Linked DNA regions of Oreochromis niloticus. The protein of the gene in region 1 binds, or shares a complex with, the protein of each later gene. Links are inferred from orthologs where the notes say so. Each region holds a gene or a part of one and is shown on either strand. Other genes may lie near its edges. The genes, in order: xab2 and ppie.

Region 1 (8,531 bases):
ATATATACATATACATATATATTTGCAGTCTAAGAAAAGGTATGAACTGAGTCTTTACATCTGTTGCAATGAACTCCTCCACATCATTAATGCTTTTGACAGTCACTTCACCCTGACTGATCATTGGATAGTCAAAGGGATTTGTGGTGATCAGAAGAGCCTCTGAAAGACCAGAAGAAATGCATAAATAAATAAATGCTATGAATCCAAATTAAACTTCACCGTACAAATACCAGTCAGTACCTACCCAGGAGCTCAGGCTTGTGCCCTGTCATTAGCTGATAGAAGATATGGTAGCTCCTCTCAGCAGACAACTGGAAGGTGACACGGGACTTCTCCAGCAGATCTAAGACCAAAAATTCAGTGTGAGACAAAAGTGTGCAGATTTCATAACATCAGACAGCAACAGTGAATAAAATGTAAAAAAAGAAAAATTAAAATAACTTACATGTTTCAATATCAGCTGAAGCCAGTTTGCCAGTGGTTCCAAAATGAATTCTGATAAATTTACCCTAAACGTATCAGATTTAAATTAACAGTTATTTTTGACAGTTTGCTTTCACACCTGGTATTCTTTTCTGTTCCAACACTTACAAAGCGAGAGGAGTTGTCATTCCTAACAGTCTTGGCATTACCATATGCCTCCAGCAGAGGGTTAGCTGCAATGATTTGATCTTCCAGGGAACCCTAGAAAAATTATGTTACACCTTTTTTGGTATACTGTAAAAACTTTACTTACTTTTTCCAAGTAAAAGCAGTTATACCTGCATCTTGCCAGGTGTAGGCTCTGCCTTCTTGGATGCAGTCATTGCAATTATTGCAAAGTACTGGATGACACGCTTAGTGTTGACAGTCTTTCCTGCACCAGATTCTCCGCTGGAGAAAGAAAGAGTTGAATTGAGTTTTATTGTGTGTTTTTTCATATCTGACATTCATTTATTGGTATATTACTCACGTGATGAGGATAGACTGGTTCTCACGATCTAAAAAGAACAAATACTTAAATTGATTGTTAATTTAAAACCACAAATGATCAAAATACTGTGCTGATGAAACATCAGATGTGCTATGCCATGTTTTGTGTTTCATATATATATATATATATTTCATGTATATCCTACATGATATTCTAAATGTATATATATATTTAGTATATCCTCTAAAATAAAACATACCAGTGAGCATGAACTGATAGGCATTATCAGAGATGGAAAAGATGTGCGGTGGAGCCTCAACTCTCTTTTTGCCCCTGTATGCCACAACAACCTGAGCGTCATACACAGGAAGCCACTTGTAGGGATTCACGACGACACAGAAGAGGCCGGAATAAGTCTGGAAAGCAGAGTAAGTTCACAAATGTCATTGTGTCCACACTGGACATCTATATCATTTTAATAACTTCTCCCAGTATAGAAAAGTAGAGAACAGGCAAACACTATTATTAAATGTTTGTTAAACACCTACATAGATCATCCATGATGCAAAACGCTCTTTGAGGTTAAACAGCACGGCAGGCTCATTGAGGTGGGTCATCATGGCCATGTCCTCAATTTTATCAAACTTTGGGGGATTCATGGGGTGGATGTCATCCTCTTTTACAGTGACTGTCTACATAGAAAGAAACAATTTTTAAAAAATTTAATAAGTACATTATGTAACATATAATATTAATCTTATCTGTTTTCGGGAGAAAGTTGAATGGGTGGAATTGTTAAAGTTAGAATCTTTTATGAATATTCACTTACCTTTCCTCCAAGTGTGTCAACAGTGGCTTTACCACCCTCCTTCTTGACAAGTTTGCCCTTGACATACATCTCATCAGGAACAGCCACAAAGTAAGCCGTCTTGGCATCAAATGGAGCAGTCTGGGCCTCAATCCTCTCCCTTTCTGGCTTGCGGAGATAAATGGCCGCAGGGCCATACTGCTCCATCTCTGCGTCTGTGCTCATGGTGGCACTTTAGTGGTAACTGACAAAAGGAGAAGGGATATGAATGAGTTGGAACATGTTAAATTGTGATATAGTTTTACATAATTTGGAAATATTTTTTAATGAACATTATTATAACCATTTGGGAGTTGTGTTATTTAAGACACATCTCACCTCACTTTATCCCTACTGAGTGGCTCTGATCTGTTGTTATCTGAAGATGCATTTAAAGAAAAATATAGATGAAAGAAAACACAAAGTCAACATATTTGCACTGCTATCACCTACAGCAGTCACATTACATAGAATTTTGGTTAAGCAGTCTTCCTTGGCTGCATAGTTGTTGTTTTTTAACAGTTTTCAAACATTCAGTAATCCATACACAACATTTCAAGTGTTTCATTACAACTCTTAATGAAAGATTTAATCTAGTTGAGTAAATCAGTAAATCAATAGCATTTGATATTTCCTTTCCTTCAAGAGTGCTAAAATGAAATTGAAAAAATGGAACAAACAGCTACGATAAATTTGATTAAAAGTTAATTCAGTTTAAAAAAACAAACAAGCACTGACCTGTTGAGGATGCCTTTCAGTTCTCTGAGGAGACTGAAGTAGTTGCTTTTATACAGGCTTAAACAGCTTGGTCAGCAGCAGTCTGCCTCTCGATTTGGTCAAGCATCCCTGTCATTTTAAGACCCCTCTTGTGACATATTATGTTTACTCAGCTTTTTGCGTACCAGATTTTATCTTGCTTAAATAAGAAAATAGTTCCAATACAGGAAAAGGAAAAAAATATTAAATTAATCAGTCAAGCAGGAGAAGAATTTTATAGAAATATAGTAAAATTGAAAATCAAAATAAATAAATAGTCAAATAAAGCAGCTTCAAGTTCCTTTATTGCATGGGACATTGTATGTTCTATGTCATCCTTGTTGAATGATGTGAAAAGATCAAATTATAGCCATTTTGAAAACATAAATAATCTATTACAGGAGTTGTGCTTTGACTTCCATTTTTAAACCCATTACCTCTTTCCCTTTAGAAAGATGCACTGAAATGTCATTAGTATTGAGTGTCAGAGCTTGTCCACATTTCAGATATTTAAAATACTGTAAAATGTAGTATCGTTTACATGACTCAAAAACAAGAAAAGTCAACCCCTCACAAAAAATATGTTAATTTTAAAGAGAATGCAATTTTATGTTAGTAATATTGTGCAATATGTTCTAGATAAACACTGGCAATAGCTTTATTTCAGCTCATAAAAAGAGTAATGTCTAAAGTATGCACTAAAATAGATGCTACTCAATGAACATAATTTTTTAAGCACGAATTTTCACCAATAAATCATTAACTTAGGTAATATTTGAATCTGATTTACTTGAGAAATATTTTTCTATTTTATTTTATAGTGAGAGGTTGTCACTACTTAGCCACACTATTAAACATGTTCTTACGAATGAAAATTAATTTTGGAGAAGCCTCCATGTGTTGCTGGTATACAGTTGCAGTGCATTGGCACATCTATCTGAGTGGGACTTATTATAGGTCTTATCTCAGCCCGGTTGGCAAATGTTCTTCTAGTGCTTATAAGGCAATGTGTAATACCAGTTGAACTTTATGGAAAAGGCCTTACATTCAGTTTTATTAGAGGAATATGAGATGTGCCAATGTTCTGCAACTGTACACCAGCACCTCTTAGGTGCTCCCTCAAAATGAATTCCCATTCCCTGGCTATGAACATGTTTAATAGTGTGGGTAAGTAGAGACAACCTCTGTCAAAGATCTTTATCCTCAAGCTACATTTGATGTTGTTTTTGTTTTTGAAACATGGTGCCCTTGATCAACTGTGTGACTTTCATTTTAAAACATTACTAGCATAGTCCCCAAAGTAGAATAATCTATATAATCTCCCAAATGGTTGACAGCTGCCTGAATGCCACTCAGAGGAATTAAAACAAAATGCAGAATCACAGTTTTAAATATGTCTTTAGGTTGACATAGAACTATATAAATCTAACTGGGTTCATATAACTTAAGGGCTGAGATATTAACCATATTTATTGAGCATCTCGTTGTCCTGCCTATTCATGCATCTGTGCTGAAGCTACAAGACTTGCAAATGACTGCTGTAATTCACTTTCACTGTGCAAAACTTGTTTGCTGAAAAATATGAGCAAGTATGAACAGTTATAATTTGATGACTTCTGTTGGCTAATGATGGTGTAGATAATTATATCAGTCAAAAAGGGGAAACTGGTGTTTTTTGTTAAATGCTATAAAACATTATGACATGTTTACTTTTGTAAAAAATAAAAAAAAAAAGTCCTGCAAAAATAAATAGATTTTTCTCTCCGTTTTCATTAACTGGACTTCTGTTAACTTGTGTATTCACAGACCCCAGAGGTATACCTTTCTGTAATTTCTAAGACGATAATCATAGGTGCAGTGGGCAGGTTTCGTCACACTATGCAATTTTTTATAGCTCCTTGTAAACATTAGATGCTTCATGTGCAACTAGAAAAAAAACTATATTTGAACCAAATTTATTTATTCAGTACATTTATTCTTTGATTTTAACAAAAGGTCAGATTGAGATCAGAACATTTTGCAAGATGGTGTTTTCTTACAGTAGTTTATTCCTGGGGTCCATAGAGACCCAAGTCGGTAATCCTTTTACTACAATGATTTATATGTTGATATAGGATAGCCTACAGTGTGACCTGATGACCTGCTTAAGCACTGTACATATTTTAGAACTATTATTTGCCTTGTGCTGACAGAAAATGTTTTACCAGCAGAGCTTCACCTACCATGACTTAAAGAAAACAGTTACAGAAAATGTTTCAAGACTGAAATTCAGGCATATGGCTCACCTCTTTCTCAGATAGTTAAAACAATGCATATCTGCTAGATTTTAAATGTACCTGTGTCATTGCATTTTTGTATTGGATTTGATTTCCATCAGTTAATAAAGGTTATATTTTCCTTTGCCAATAAGAGACGCACTGTTGCCTAAATTACTTAAAAGAAGACGTTGATATTAAATGTAGATTTTTTTAGACAGAAGAAACTATAAACATATTTTTTCTGGGCTAATGTAAGCGAGAGCTCTTCTGAACTACAAACATCGCGCCGTTTGTAGTTTTTTGTGACTCGGGTTGTGCACTCTGGCACCGGAAGTTCCTGTGAGGGTTACACACGCTTTGAGTAGGCAAGCTAGTATTAGCTTGCTAAAGTTAGCATAGCTTTTATCCGGAACAGCCGCCTTTTCTGTGAAGAAATGAAAACATTAAACGGAAAAACCGATGTCATATTTGTAAGTTACACTACACCGTATATTTCACAGAACATTTGTTAGTGTTTGTTGATTAGAGGTTTTGGGTAGCTAGCATTAACTTTAACTTTATTCTAGCTAATGTGGAAGTTTGATAAAGCTTGAAATCAGAGATAACGTTTTGCCAAATCGACTGTGCTTACACATTTGACACAAAGAAATTATCTTTATTTTTTTTATGAGTTATTAACTGTGAAAAATCGCTACAATAGTAACACCGCTGTTTGATTTCTGGATACTAGGAGGACGACGATCTACCTTATGAAGAGGAGATCATCAGGAATCCATATTCAGTCAAGTGCTGGATGCGTTACATCGAATTCAAACAGAATGGACCAAAATCTACCCTCAATATGATATATGAGCGGGCTCTAAAAGAACTCCCTGGCAGGTAACTAACAAGAGACCGTTACAAAAAAAATTGTGGACATTGTGCTGAGAAGCCAATAGCAACGGATAACTCAAAACCCATAGACTATACATTATTGTACAAGATTCTGTGCAGCAACTATTTCCCAAGTGTCTAACCACCCTTCCCACTCATTTTTGCAGCTATAAGTTGTGGTACAATTATCTGAGAGAGAGGCGAAAACAAGTCAAAGGGAAATGTATCACAGAACCAGCCTATGAAGAAGTCAATAATTGTCATGAAAGGGCACTAGTGTTCATGCACAAGGTAATACCTCCTATAGATCTTGATGCTTAGCCACTTTACTCATAAAAGTAACATTTGGTCTGCAAGAGCTTTGCATAAAACTAACTGTCTTTACTTAAACTAGATGCCTAGAATATGGATGGATTACTGCCAGTTCCTTGTGTCTCAATGCAAGATCACAAGAAGTCGTAGAACATTTGACCGAGCACTTAGAGCTCTTCCTGTAACTCAGCACCCACGCATCTGGCCTCTGTATCTCCGCTTTGTCCGTGACTTGCCATTGCCTGAAACAGCCATCCGAGTGTACCGCAGGTACCTTAAGGTGAGAACATACTGCACAACCTTAAGTCTATACAGCAGCTGTCATTTAAAATGTTAAGGTGATTTCTGATTTAATTTTTGTTTTACAGGTGTCATCTGTCAAAGTGTATTCTGTGGCATAAATGTTGTCCTTAGCCTCTGAAGATTCTTAGCTGTTATCCAAAAGACCTTACATGCATTCAATAACAAGCTTTATGGCTGATTAAGAAAGTTTTAAAAGATAGACAAGTTCCCTAATCTGTTCATGCAGAATACCTGTGAAAATATTTCTTTCTGAATGTTTAATGTCTTACTGTCTTCTCTTGATACCTTGTAGCTTTCTCCAGAAAATGCAGAAGAATACATAGACTACTTGCGGTCTGTTGGCCGCCTCGATGAAGCAGCTGTGCGGCTAGCAGCTGTTGTCAATGATGAAAACTTTGTGTCCAAAGAGGGAAAGTCTAACTATCAAGTAAGATGGGATTCTTCCAGACACTTTTCAACACTCCAGCCTTTTAAGCTACATGAAAAAAATATAAAAAAAAATGTTTTTCTTCTTCTTTTCTTTTTTTGGACAGCTGTGGCATGAACTATGTGACCTGATCTCCCAGAATCCTGACAAGGTGACCTCTCTGAATGTAGGAGCCATCATTCGAGGAGGCCTCACTCGCTTCACAGATCAACTTGGAAAACTTTGGTGCTCCTTAGCTGACTATTACATCAGGAGTGGCCACTTTGAGAAAGTGTGTTTCCTCTGAATAGCATTCATTTTTACCCCTAATATATATAAGTAACTAAAACACATCTCTACTTTACCTTTTATTTTAGGTTGAGTCATTTTGCATTAAAATAATTTGTTATCAGTGAGTTTGTCCAACTGTAGCCAAACATTTTTTTTTTCCTCAGGCACGTGATGTCTATGAAGAGGCCATCCTTACAGTAGTCACTGTAAGGGATTTCACACAAGTGTTTGACAGTTATGCTCAATTTGAGGAGAGCATGATCGCTGCTAAGATGGAGACTACAGCTGAGATGGGGCAGGATGAGAATGGTGAGTATGTGTGCATCAGTTAATCTTGATAACTGTCTTTGTTTTTTGTTTTGTTTTTTTCATGTGTACATTACTCTTTGTTTTTCTCCACTCAGATGACATAGACCTGGAGCTAAGACTTGCCCGCTTTGAGCAGCTCATTGCCCGGCGACCCCTCTTGTTGAACAGTGTACTCTTGAGACAGAACCCCCATAATGTTCATGAGTGGCACAAGCGGGTAAAACTGTATGACGGAAATCCACGACAGGTGGGTTTTAAATATTTTGCGAATGATTGGGACAGTGCACAAGTCACAATATATACATTTCACACACAAAAAAACTACCTTCATGTAGTGAATTACTAATAAATAGCCCTATTTTCTTCAGATCATCAACACATACACGGAGGCAGTCCAGACTATTGATCCAATGAAGGCCACAGGGAAACCTCACTCACTCTGGGTTTTCTTTGCTAAATTCTATGAGGAAAATGAGCAGCTGGACGATGTAAGTCATTATTTAAACTTACGTTTACCTTTTTCAGATCATTCATTATTATTATTATTATTAGTAGTAGTAGTATTAGTATCATTATTATCATTATTATTATTATTGTTATTGTTGTTAGTTCCCTGTATTTACTAACTTTATTTACTAACTCAACTCAGGCGAGGACAATCTTTGAGAAGGCTACCAAGGTGAACTACAAACAGGTGGATGACCTTGCTGCAGTGTGGTGTGAATATGGAGAGATGGAACTTCGTCATGAGAATTACGAACAGGCACTACGAATTCTGAGGGTAACTGATCTGCATCATATACATCATGCACATGATCCTTTTTGGAGCCATATTTAGGAACATCTTGTGGGCATCATATATTGTTTGGGAATGACCAGGTTGTGAAATAAAGAAGACATTTGTTAGACTTGTTATTTAAATGTCTTTTGAAAGTATATTTCAAAATATAATTAACACCTGGTAACTGAAGTTATAGGCTGTAGTTTCACTTGCACCGAGTAAAAATGTTTGCAGTTGTTTACAAAGGCAATTTTAAGCAAAGGGTGTAATATAAGTAGTTGCATCACCTTTTAAACTTATGAAACCATTTACATATTTGTATTTATTTTATTTAGAAAGCAACAGCTATCCCATCCAAGAAAGCAGAGTACTTTGATGCTTCTGAGCCTGTCCAAAACAGAGTCTACAAATCCTTGAAGGTCTGGTCAATGCTGGCAGACTTGGAGGAAAGTCTTGGCACTTTCCAGGTATGTTCAATT
Region 2 (7,427 bases), on another chromosome or scaffold:
AACTGAGGGATAATGCGGTGGAAGCTGCTGCCCTTGTAGCCGAAGCCCTTTTCGTGAGTGCACAAGCAGCGGAAGTTCTCTATTCAAAATAAAAGAAGATTTAATCTAACAGATACCACAGTTTCTTTCTACAAACATGGAGACCATTCAGAGAAAGAAGAAAACTCTGGGAAAACTTTGGGATGTGTAGCATATACACATACACACCTGCTGTCATGGGAACAATGTCAGCCCGGAGCAGGAAGCGCAGTCTCCCTGCTGGCTTGTTGCCGATCTTTATGTCCATGTAGACCTGAGGATTTACTCTGCCTTTTTTAGCCGGCGGCTCACCCTGCAAGAACAAATTACCGCCTCGCATCTTAAAAGATTTATAAAGTCACGACCCCACAGAGACACAGATTAGAAGTGAAATCCTCTCACCTCCTGAGCTGTAGTTTGGGGTGTTTCTCCAGCTGCTGCCTCTGCCTCAGCTTCTTCTACGGTCTTCCCAGAAAACTTTTTCAACCAGTCATCATCCGACCACACTGCAGGAAAGGCAGACTTAAAGTTTCAACCGCTACTTCTTTTTTTAAAAAAAGAGACAAACAGAATGGATGAAGTGTTTATTATTCACCTGGTCGAGAAGAACCTTCTTTGATTCTCATGGGCTTGGCGATATTGACGCGGACAGTCCTTCCAAAAAGTTCAGACTCATTCTAGAGGGATAAAAAAACATTTTAACAATAATCAGGTTTTAATTTTATTTAAAATTACAAGGTTCCTGACAGAGTGATGTTATCTGTGAGTGTCTGCGTAACAGCCACAATAAGAGCTGCTCCAAATCCCGAACTACTAAGGAAACCTGCTTCAGTGCTTCCTTTAATACCTCCTTTAGCAGATGATACACTGGACTATCCTTTATGACACTTAATGAAAACAAATTATTAGGTGACTCTCTTGTTTTCAATCATCTGCCAAGACTTTCTACTATTTAGGGTCGTGGTGGGGTCAGAGTCTATCCCAGCTGTCATAGGGCGAGAAGCGGGGGAACATCCTCGACAGGTCGCCAGGCTGTCGCAGGGCTGACCCAGAGACAGACAACCGTTTGTCCGCAAATTCACACCTAGGCCAGGATCACCAATTAACCCCCCCGACTGCATGTCTGTGGACTGTGGGAGGAAGCCGGAGTAACTGGAGAAAACACGCTTGACTCTTCAGCAAGAAGGTAAAAGACATAAAAGGGTTCATTTGATGCTGTTTTTTGGCTATTTGATGGGAATAACATGTCTTTGGTGAAGCAGTTATGTGAGAAACTTACCATGTTATCAATAGCTGCTGCAGCATCCTGCAGAAGATGAGAAAGAAGCCATAAATGGGTTATGAGGACAGAAATATGTTTCACCTTAAGTCACCAATAACCATTCAAGTGACTCACTTTGGTAAATTCCCGGCTCCTAAAACTGCAACATGCAGATGAATAATAATTAATGACTAATACCCAAGTTAATACTAACCAATGATGACACGATCAGCGGTGAACAGACAAACTAATCACAAGGAAGTGGAAGGTCATTGCAATTTAAATTTAAATAAAAGTATAGAGAGCAGACCATCACGTGCATAAAATAATCTGTGATAGGGTCATTTCATCAAATTAAAAAAAAAGATGGATATTTCAAAAATGAGAGAGAAAACGGTGATTTGGTACGTGGTGTCATACCTGAGGAATTACACACTCGAGATGAATGAAAATTTGTTTCCTTCAGGTGTGGTGTGTGTTTCCTTATGTGCCTTACTAGGGGATTTATGCTTCAGCGGGAAATCTACACTGTAGCTACATTATAACTGCAAACCCCTTTGAAACCCTACGACCTAACCTATAGTATAACATGACATCCAGTTCCCTCAAAATCTAACTGCTGTGGTCGATGCAGCCCGCAGCTACTGTGACTGGCCTGCTGCTGTCAAGCAAATTCCTGGAGGGCGATGGCTGAAACTATCAGAGTAGATGAGAGAGAATTTACAAAGAAGTGGAAGAACTGGAGGGACAGGTATGTTTGACCCTAAAAAAAACTGATCACACGAAAGCACGAGGACCCAGGAGGAAAAAAGTCCCAGCGTTTTATTTGTTTCTATCATGGCTCACAGCATGTAAGCAGCACGACACGACTGTTATCTATAGCGTTATAGAGAACAGGTTTTTAAAATGACACTACAAGAATGTCCCAACAGGTTCATCCCCGTAAAGTATTTTTAGTAAGAATTTTAATGACAGTAGGAACCGGACATTTTGCATAATTCCTATTAAAAAGAAATTTTTGCCTGGAGTTTTCTTACAGGAAAATCTGACCTGACATGGATTGAGCCAGTGATATTTGTTCCGTTGCATATCATTTACATAATATCATTAATAGGCTAATATTAGCACACTGCAGGCTGTATAAGCCGGACTCACCTCTGCCAGCTCAAATTCGATGAATGCAAACCCTCTGTGCTTCTCTGAAAATGTAAAACACAAGACAAAGCGAACACTTTCATCTCTGTGCTGCTGCAGGGTTTATTGTTAATCGTGGACAAAACGGTCCTGATCTTACCCGTTTCATAGTCCAGCGGGATCTGGATGTCGATGATGTCTCCGAAAGGAATAAAAGCTGCATGGAGCACCTTCTCATCCACCTCTTCTGCCAAACCGCCTGACATAAACACGCATTTTTCAGATCCGCATTTTAAAAAAGGGAAAAACATTTCAAACAAATACAGTGTACAGAGCTGGGATAACGGACAGTATTTACATGCCGGGTTAAACTAACGTGCGCTCATTTTTCCGGCTAAACTTCTCTCTCCTGCGTCTTTGTCGTGTTCCTGACATGCGCAGAATTACTGCTACGGTATAGATTTATAATACAGTCGTAAACACGTCAGCTACACACATCTAAACAGCGAAAGTTTAACAAAAAACAGCCATAACGTACCCACATACAACACCCGCTTGTTAGCCGCCATATTGGATTTAACCCTTCAACTTTGAACCCAGCAGCTTCCCATTGGTGGAGAGAACCCGAACTAAAACAAGCAGCCTCAGATTAGTGAGCTCTACCGCCCTCTGTCGGAGGAATCTCCCATTATCGCCAATAAACTGCATTTTACTTTAATTTGGACTACATTTATAGTTTTAAAGCCACGATGCAATCCGATCTTTGCTTTGATTGAAAAGAAAAATATTTAATTTATTTTTGTCCAAGACTGTCCAGCTTAGTTATTAAGACTATGTAATCAAATTACAAGAAATAAGTAACTTTAATCAGCCTGGTGCAGAGGAAAGATGTTAAACTATTTTATCAATGGGTCCCTCAAAACAAATGAAGAAACCCTTACAGGCAAACTTCCATGTTAGTAAGCCAAAAATAAAAGTAATTCACAAGCGTACAGAATTTTGTTTCAAGCATTTTGAGAGCAATGCTGTCAGTCATCAGTGTCAGTGATGGCTTCGCCCAGTGGCCAGCAAAATTTGAATAACGCATTTTTAAATAATCTAAAGAAATTCCAACTATTCTTTATAATCCAGTGGATTATTTTACAGTTTAAAGTAATCTAGAGTAACATTTTTTCATATAGCACTTGTCTAGATAAATTTTACAACAAAATACTAAAAACATAAAGATGAAATAAATGATCCAGCAGGAAGTTGTTTTTTTAACTGAGTTTTTAGGTTTTAAAAAAAAATAAAAATAAAGATACCAACGCGTCCACAGATGTAGGCTCAGACAGAGAGCCAAAGCCTGCAGGCCGCCACTGAAAAAGCTTGGTCCCTTTTAGTTACCTTCTCTGATCACATGACCTCAGGGACCTGCTGGGGATGTGTGAAGTTAAGAGTTCCTGATGTATGCTGGTGCTTTACTCATGCAGAGCTCTGAAGGCAAAACCAGAATTTTAATGTGGACTCTGAAGTTAACTGGGAGCTAGTGCAACTGAATTAGCAGTGGTGTGACATGAGTGCTTAGAAGACTTAGAAGTCACGGTCTGCAGACCTTCCTAAGGATGTTTTGTTGAGACAAGTGAATAATGAATTACAGCAATCCAGATTTGAACAAATAAAGCCACAACACAATGGAACACAACTTTTTAAGACTTCTTAGTGACAAAAACAAGAGCAAAGCAGGATCTAACGTGAAGGCTGAGTCAAAACTTACTCCAAGGTTTCCAACAGAAGATTTAGCAAAAGTGGCAAGAGGACCTAGAGTTTCATTACTTTAGGCATAAAATTATTAAAGGCTCCTGTTTTCTCCTCATTAACTTCTAATAGAGTCAAACTCCCTCTGCAAAATCTTTAACTCAGAAACATCTTGCAGCTTAAAAGAGTTTACAAGGTTTGCCATGCTATTTATATTCAGCACCTGACATTTCCGAATAATGGGACCCAACCCTGCCAATAAAATGCAATATGTGGCTGTTTAAGCTAAATGGAATTCAGCAGTAATTCATTTTATTGTGGACTCTCTCCTGCGACGGTGACAAACCTTTTGTGCGTGCTGTCACGTTATCACAATGACTTATTAGGGAGCTTAAAGAGGAAAAAGAACTATTCACTTCCTTCATTGCCAAAGGTGTTCACAACATAAAACATCCTGATTGTGTTTCTTTATTTGCACTGGAGTGAAAGACAGTAGACCTTCAACACCCATAATTATCCACCTGCAAACTAATTTCCACACGTCTCTCCTAAGTTAGATATTTTCTCTCTGCCTGAACCCAGTCCTTTAAACCGTCAGAGAAATTAATCACAAATAGCAGAAATCAATTGCAAACTTCTAGATTCCTCAAAACAGTTAATAGGACAAGCTAAAAATAGAGTTTGATATTTTACTACAACCTATTAATTCTTTGCAAAATTTGCATTTTCAGTCATGTGTAAGCACTGCAAAGCCACTTTTATTCCCACTTGATAATTTGAATATAGGGAAACTTTTCTTGACTTTTTTTCCTTCTTTTTGATTTAATGCTAAAAAAACAAAAAAACAAACACCCTAAAAAACACCAAACACAACTTATATGTTTTTAATACTTGTGGAGATGTTACGATGTTTTGGTACTACTTGGTAGCAAAGTGTTTGTCAGACACACACTTACGCTTTAGTTCATTAGTGTTTGGTCATTAATAGGTTTTGCAGTTTTGCCTCTGTACACCACCACAGCAGATTTTATTTTAAACAGTCAAGACTTGATTGAAGTGCAGACTTTAGCATTAATTTAAGGAGTTTAAAAGTTTTGAATTACAGCCTTTTTTTTTTTTAAATAGTTCCCCATTTATTTTTGATGATTTGATGATTTTTTGGTTTTTAATATTTGGATGAAAAGTCAATGACTGCTGACGTCTGGAGCCCACGAACATCATCAGGTGCTTTGTTGAGATGCTCTGCCAGGCTGTCACTGCAGTCACCTTCAGTTGCTGCTTGGTTTGTGGGTCTCTGCCTTCAGTTTTATCTTCAGTAATGAGCAAAAGCTGCTCTATTGGGCTGAGATCAGGTGCCTGACTTGGTCACTGAAGATTATCCCGTTTATTTACCTTGAGTAAACTCTTGTTTTTGCAGCTCCGTGTCATTATCCATTTGCACGCTGTAGTGCTCTCTGCTTGGTTGTCTGAATCTGAGCAGAGACTATAGCTCTGCACACTTCCCATCACATCCTGCTGCTTCCATCAACAGTCACATCATCATCATTAAACACTGGTGGTCCAGTTCCACTGCCCACGCTGTAACATTACCTCCACCACGTGTCACAGATTACGTGGTATGCTTCTCTCCTTCTGCACACTTTCCTTCTCAATTAAAATAACACAAGGTGAGTCACCTGGATATATCATCCCTTTATTGAAATTACCACACACCCGTTGATAACGTGTTAGGATGGAGGAGTCATTTCACACCAACATGAAGCTTTCAAGCAAAGACAAAGAACAAGGCTCTTTTTACTTCCTCTCCTTTGCCACAAAATAAAGGGCCTTTGTCCAAGATTCATTTGCATCACTGCATCTGGTATGCAGCGTAAAAGTATTACAGAACTACAAAATTATGCATTATGTAATATTTTTTCAAAGTGTACATTTAAAATAAGGTTTTCCATTTTTTTCTTGATTTTTGTTTTTGTGTGATTGTTCAGAAGACTTTGGGCTTTCCAGTGTAGTGCATCTCTTCCCATCTCCTCTCAGTTTTCTGTGCTCTGAAACAACACAGTGTCTTCCCATTAGTGCCACACAAGCTTTATTATGTATAGCCTAATGAACCTGATTGATTAGCTTGACTAAATATGTATTTCCATACCAAGTTAGAATAGCTCAGAGTCTTCAGGATGTGGCAGCAGCAGCAGTAGGAGCCATGCCACCTACTTTCTGGGTGGCGTCTTTCTTGGCCTGGTGTGCCTGTAAAACTGCAACAGCTTCTTCCACCTGTACAAACACGACGACAAGCATGAGCATGACCCAGCTTAGAATATGGATACCAGACTATTCAGTGTGCTTGAGGTAGTGAGGTACCTTTGAACGTAGAGACTCATGGGACTCAAGCATGTGTAGTAATTCAGAGTTGTCGATCTCCAGCAACATGCCGGTGATCTTTCCTGCCAGGTTGGCATGCATGGCCTGAATCAGTGGGAACAGACGCTCCCCTGCAGAGGAAAAAAAAAGTGTGAGTGAGTATAAATCTGCCAAAAAAGCCCTGAACAGCATTTGTTTGTAACTGTCAGTCTTACCCAGCATCTGTTTCTGCTCCTGAGGAGGTGCAGCAGCCAGCATGGAGGCCGTGAGAGGCTCTTGGCCCTGAACGTGCACCGCTGGCTGAGTCTGGAAGGCACAGTTAAGACATAATGAGGAACAATGTTTCAACATTTGGACGCTTAATGTGGGTGTGGTAATGTGGTAAGATGATGTGACACCTGCTGTAAGGCAATAGGTTGCACCACCTGGGGGTTGGGGTTACGGACACCAGTGGCGTATTTGTAAGGAGGCATGGCCCGAGGGCCGGAGACTCCGACTGAAGGACGAGGCCCCATGCTCTGACCACCAGCTAGCAACCATGAGGAAGAAATTGCAGTTTTATTAACACGGAAAACATTTCTATAACATCAACATCAATGAATTTCAAATTCCAAACCCGTAGTCAACGAACTGATGCTAATTTTTTGTGAATGCACCTCGTGGGCCTTGTGTGCTGCTGCTAGGACTCATGTGTCTGAGGTTGGCACGGGGCCCTGGCTGACGCAGCGAGCTGGGCATTGCTTGGAAACCCCCTGGAAGTGATGAAAGAACAGATAAAAACAATGTGAGTATAGGTAAAAAGTTTAATATATCACAGACATGCGCTCCATCATGGTCCACAGGCTCACCTTGACTTCGTCCACCTTGTTGCTGCCATCGGGGATTTGGTCGCATTTGGGCGAGCTGATTGGGTGCATAG

The links.
Region 2: xab2 (region 1) and ppie share a complex: the UniProt entries of both Homo sapiens proteins name them as parts of the XAB2 complex. The link is inferred for Oreochromis niloticus from reciprocal best matches to the Homo sapiens genes XAB2 and PPIE.

Annotation. Positions count from the first base shown.
Region 1 is NC_031969.2:23,555,281-23,563,811, forward strand, and holds the start of xab2 (pre-mRNA-splicing factor SYF1), read left to right. Parts: upstream 1-5,087; 5' UTR 5,088-5,211; coding exon 5,212-5,247; intron 5,248-5,507; coding exon 5,508-5,656; intron 5,657-5,817; coding exon 5,818-5,941; intron 5,942-6,044; coding exon 6,045-6,242; intron 6,243-6,557; coding exon 6,558-6,692; intron 6,693-6,798; coding exon 6,799-6,963; intron 6,964-7,126; coding exon 7,127-7,271; intron 7,272-7,366; coding exon 7,367-7,518; intron 7,519-7,639; coding exon 7,640-7,759; intron 7,760-7,920; coding exon 7,921-8,052; intron 8,053-8,387; coding exon 8,388-8,519; intron 8,520-8,531. Other genes in the region: myosin heavy chain, fast skeletal muscle, read right to left, coding at 59-162, 248-346, 449-512, 595-687, 765-876, 956-983, 1,176-1,332, 1,465-1,608 and 1 more. UniProt on the Homo sapiens protein: Involved in pre-mRNA splicing as component of the spliceosome. Involved in transcription-coupled repair (TCR), transcription and pre-mRNA splicing.
Region 2 is NC_031983.2:27,577,916-27,585,342, reverse strand, and holds the start of ppie (peptidyl-prolyl cis-trans isomerase E), read right to left. Parts: upstream 3,066-7,427; 5' UTR 2,983-3,065; coding exon 2,952-2,982; intron 2,930-2,951; exon of another isoform or gene 2,800-2,929; coding exon of another isoform or gene 2,790-2,799; intron 2,673-2,789; coding exon 2,574-2,672; intron 2,479-2,573; coding exon 2,435-2,478; intron 1,325-2,434; coding exon 1,298-1,324; intron 696-1,297; coding exon 614-695; intron 525-613; coding exon 421-524; intron 332-420; coding exon 208-331; intron 80-207; coding exon 1-79. Other genes in the region: pabpc4 (polyadenylate-binding protein 4), read right to left, coding at 6,320-6,421, 6,509-6,639, 6,724-6,814, 6,907-7,037, 7,165-7,260, 7,357-7,427. UniProt on the Homo sapiens protein: Involved in pre-mRNA splicing as component of the spliceosome. Combines RNA-binding and PPIase activities.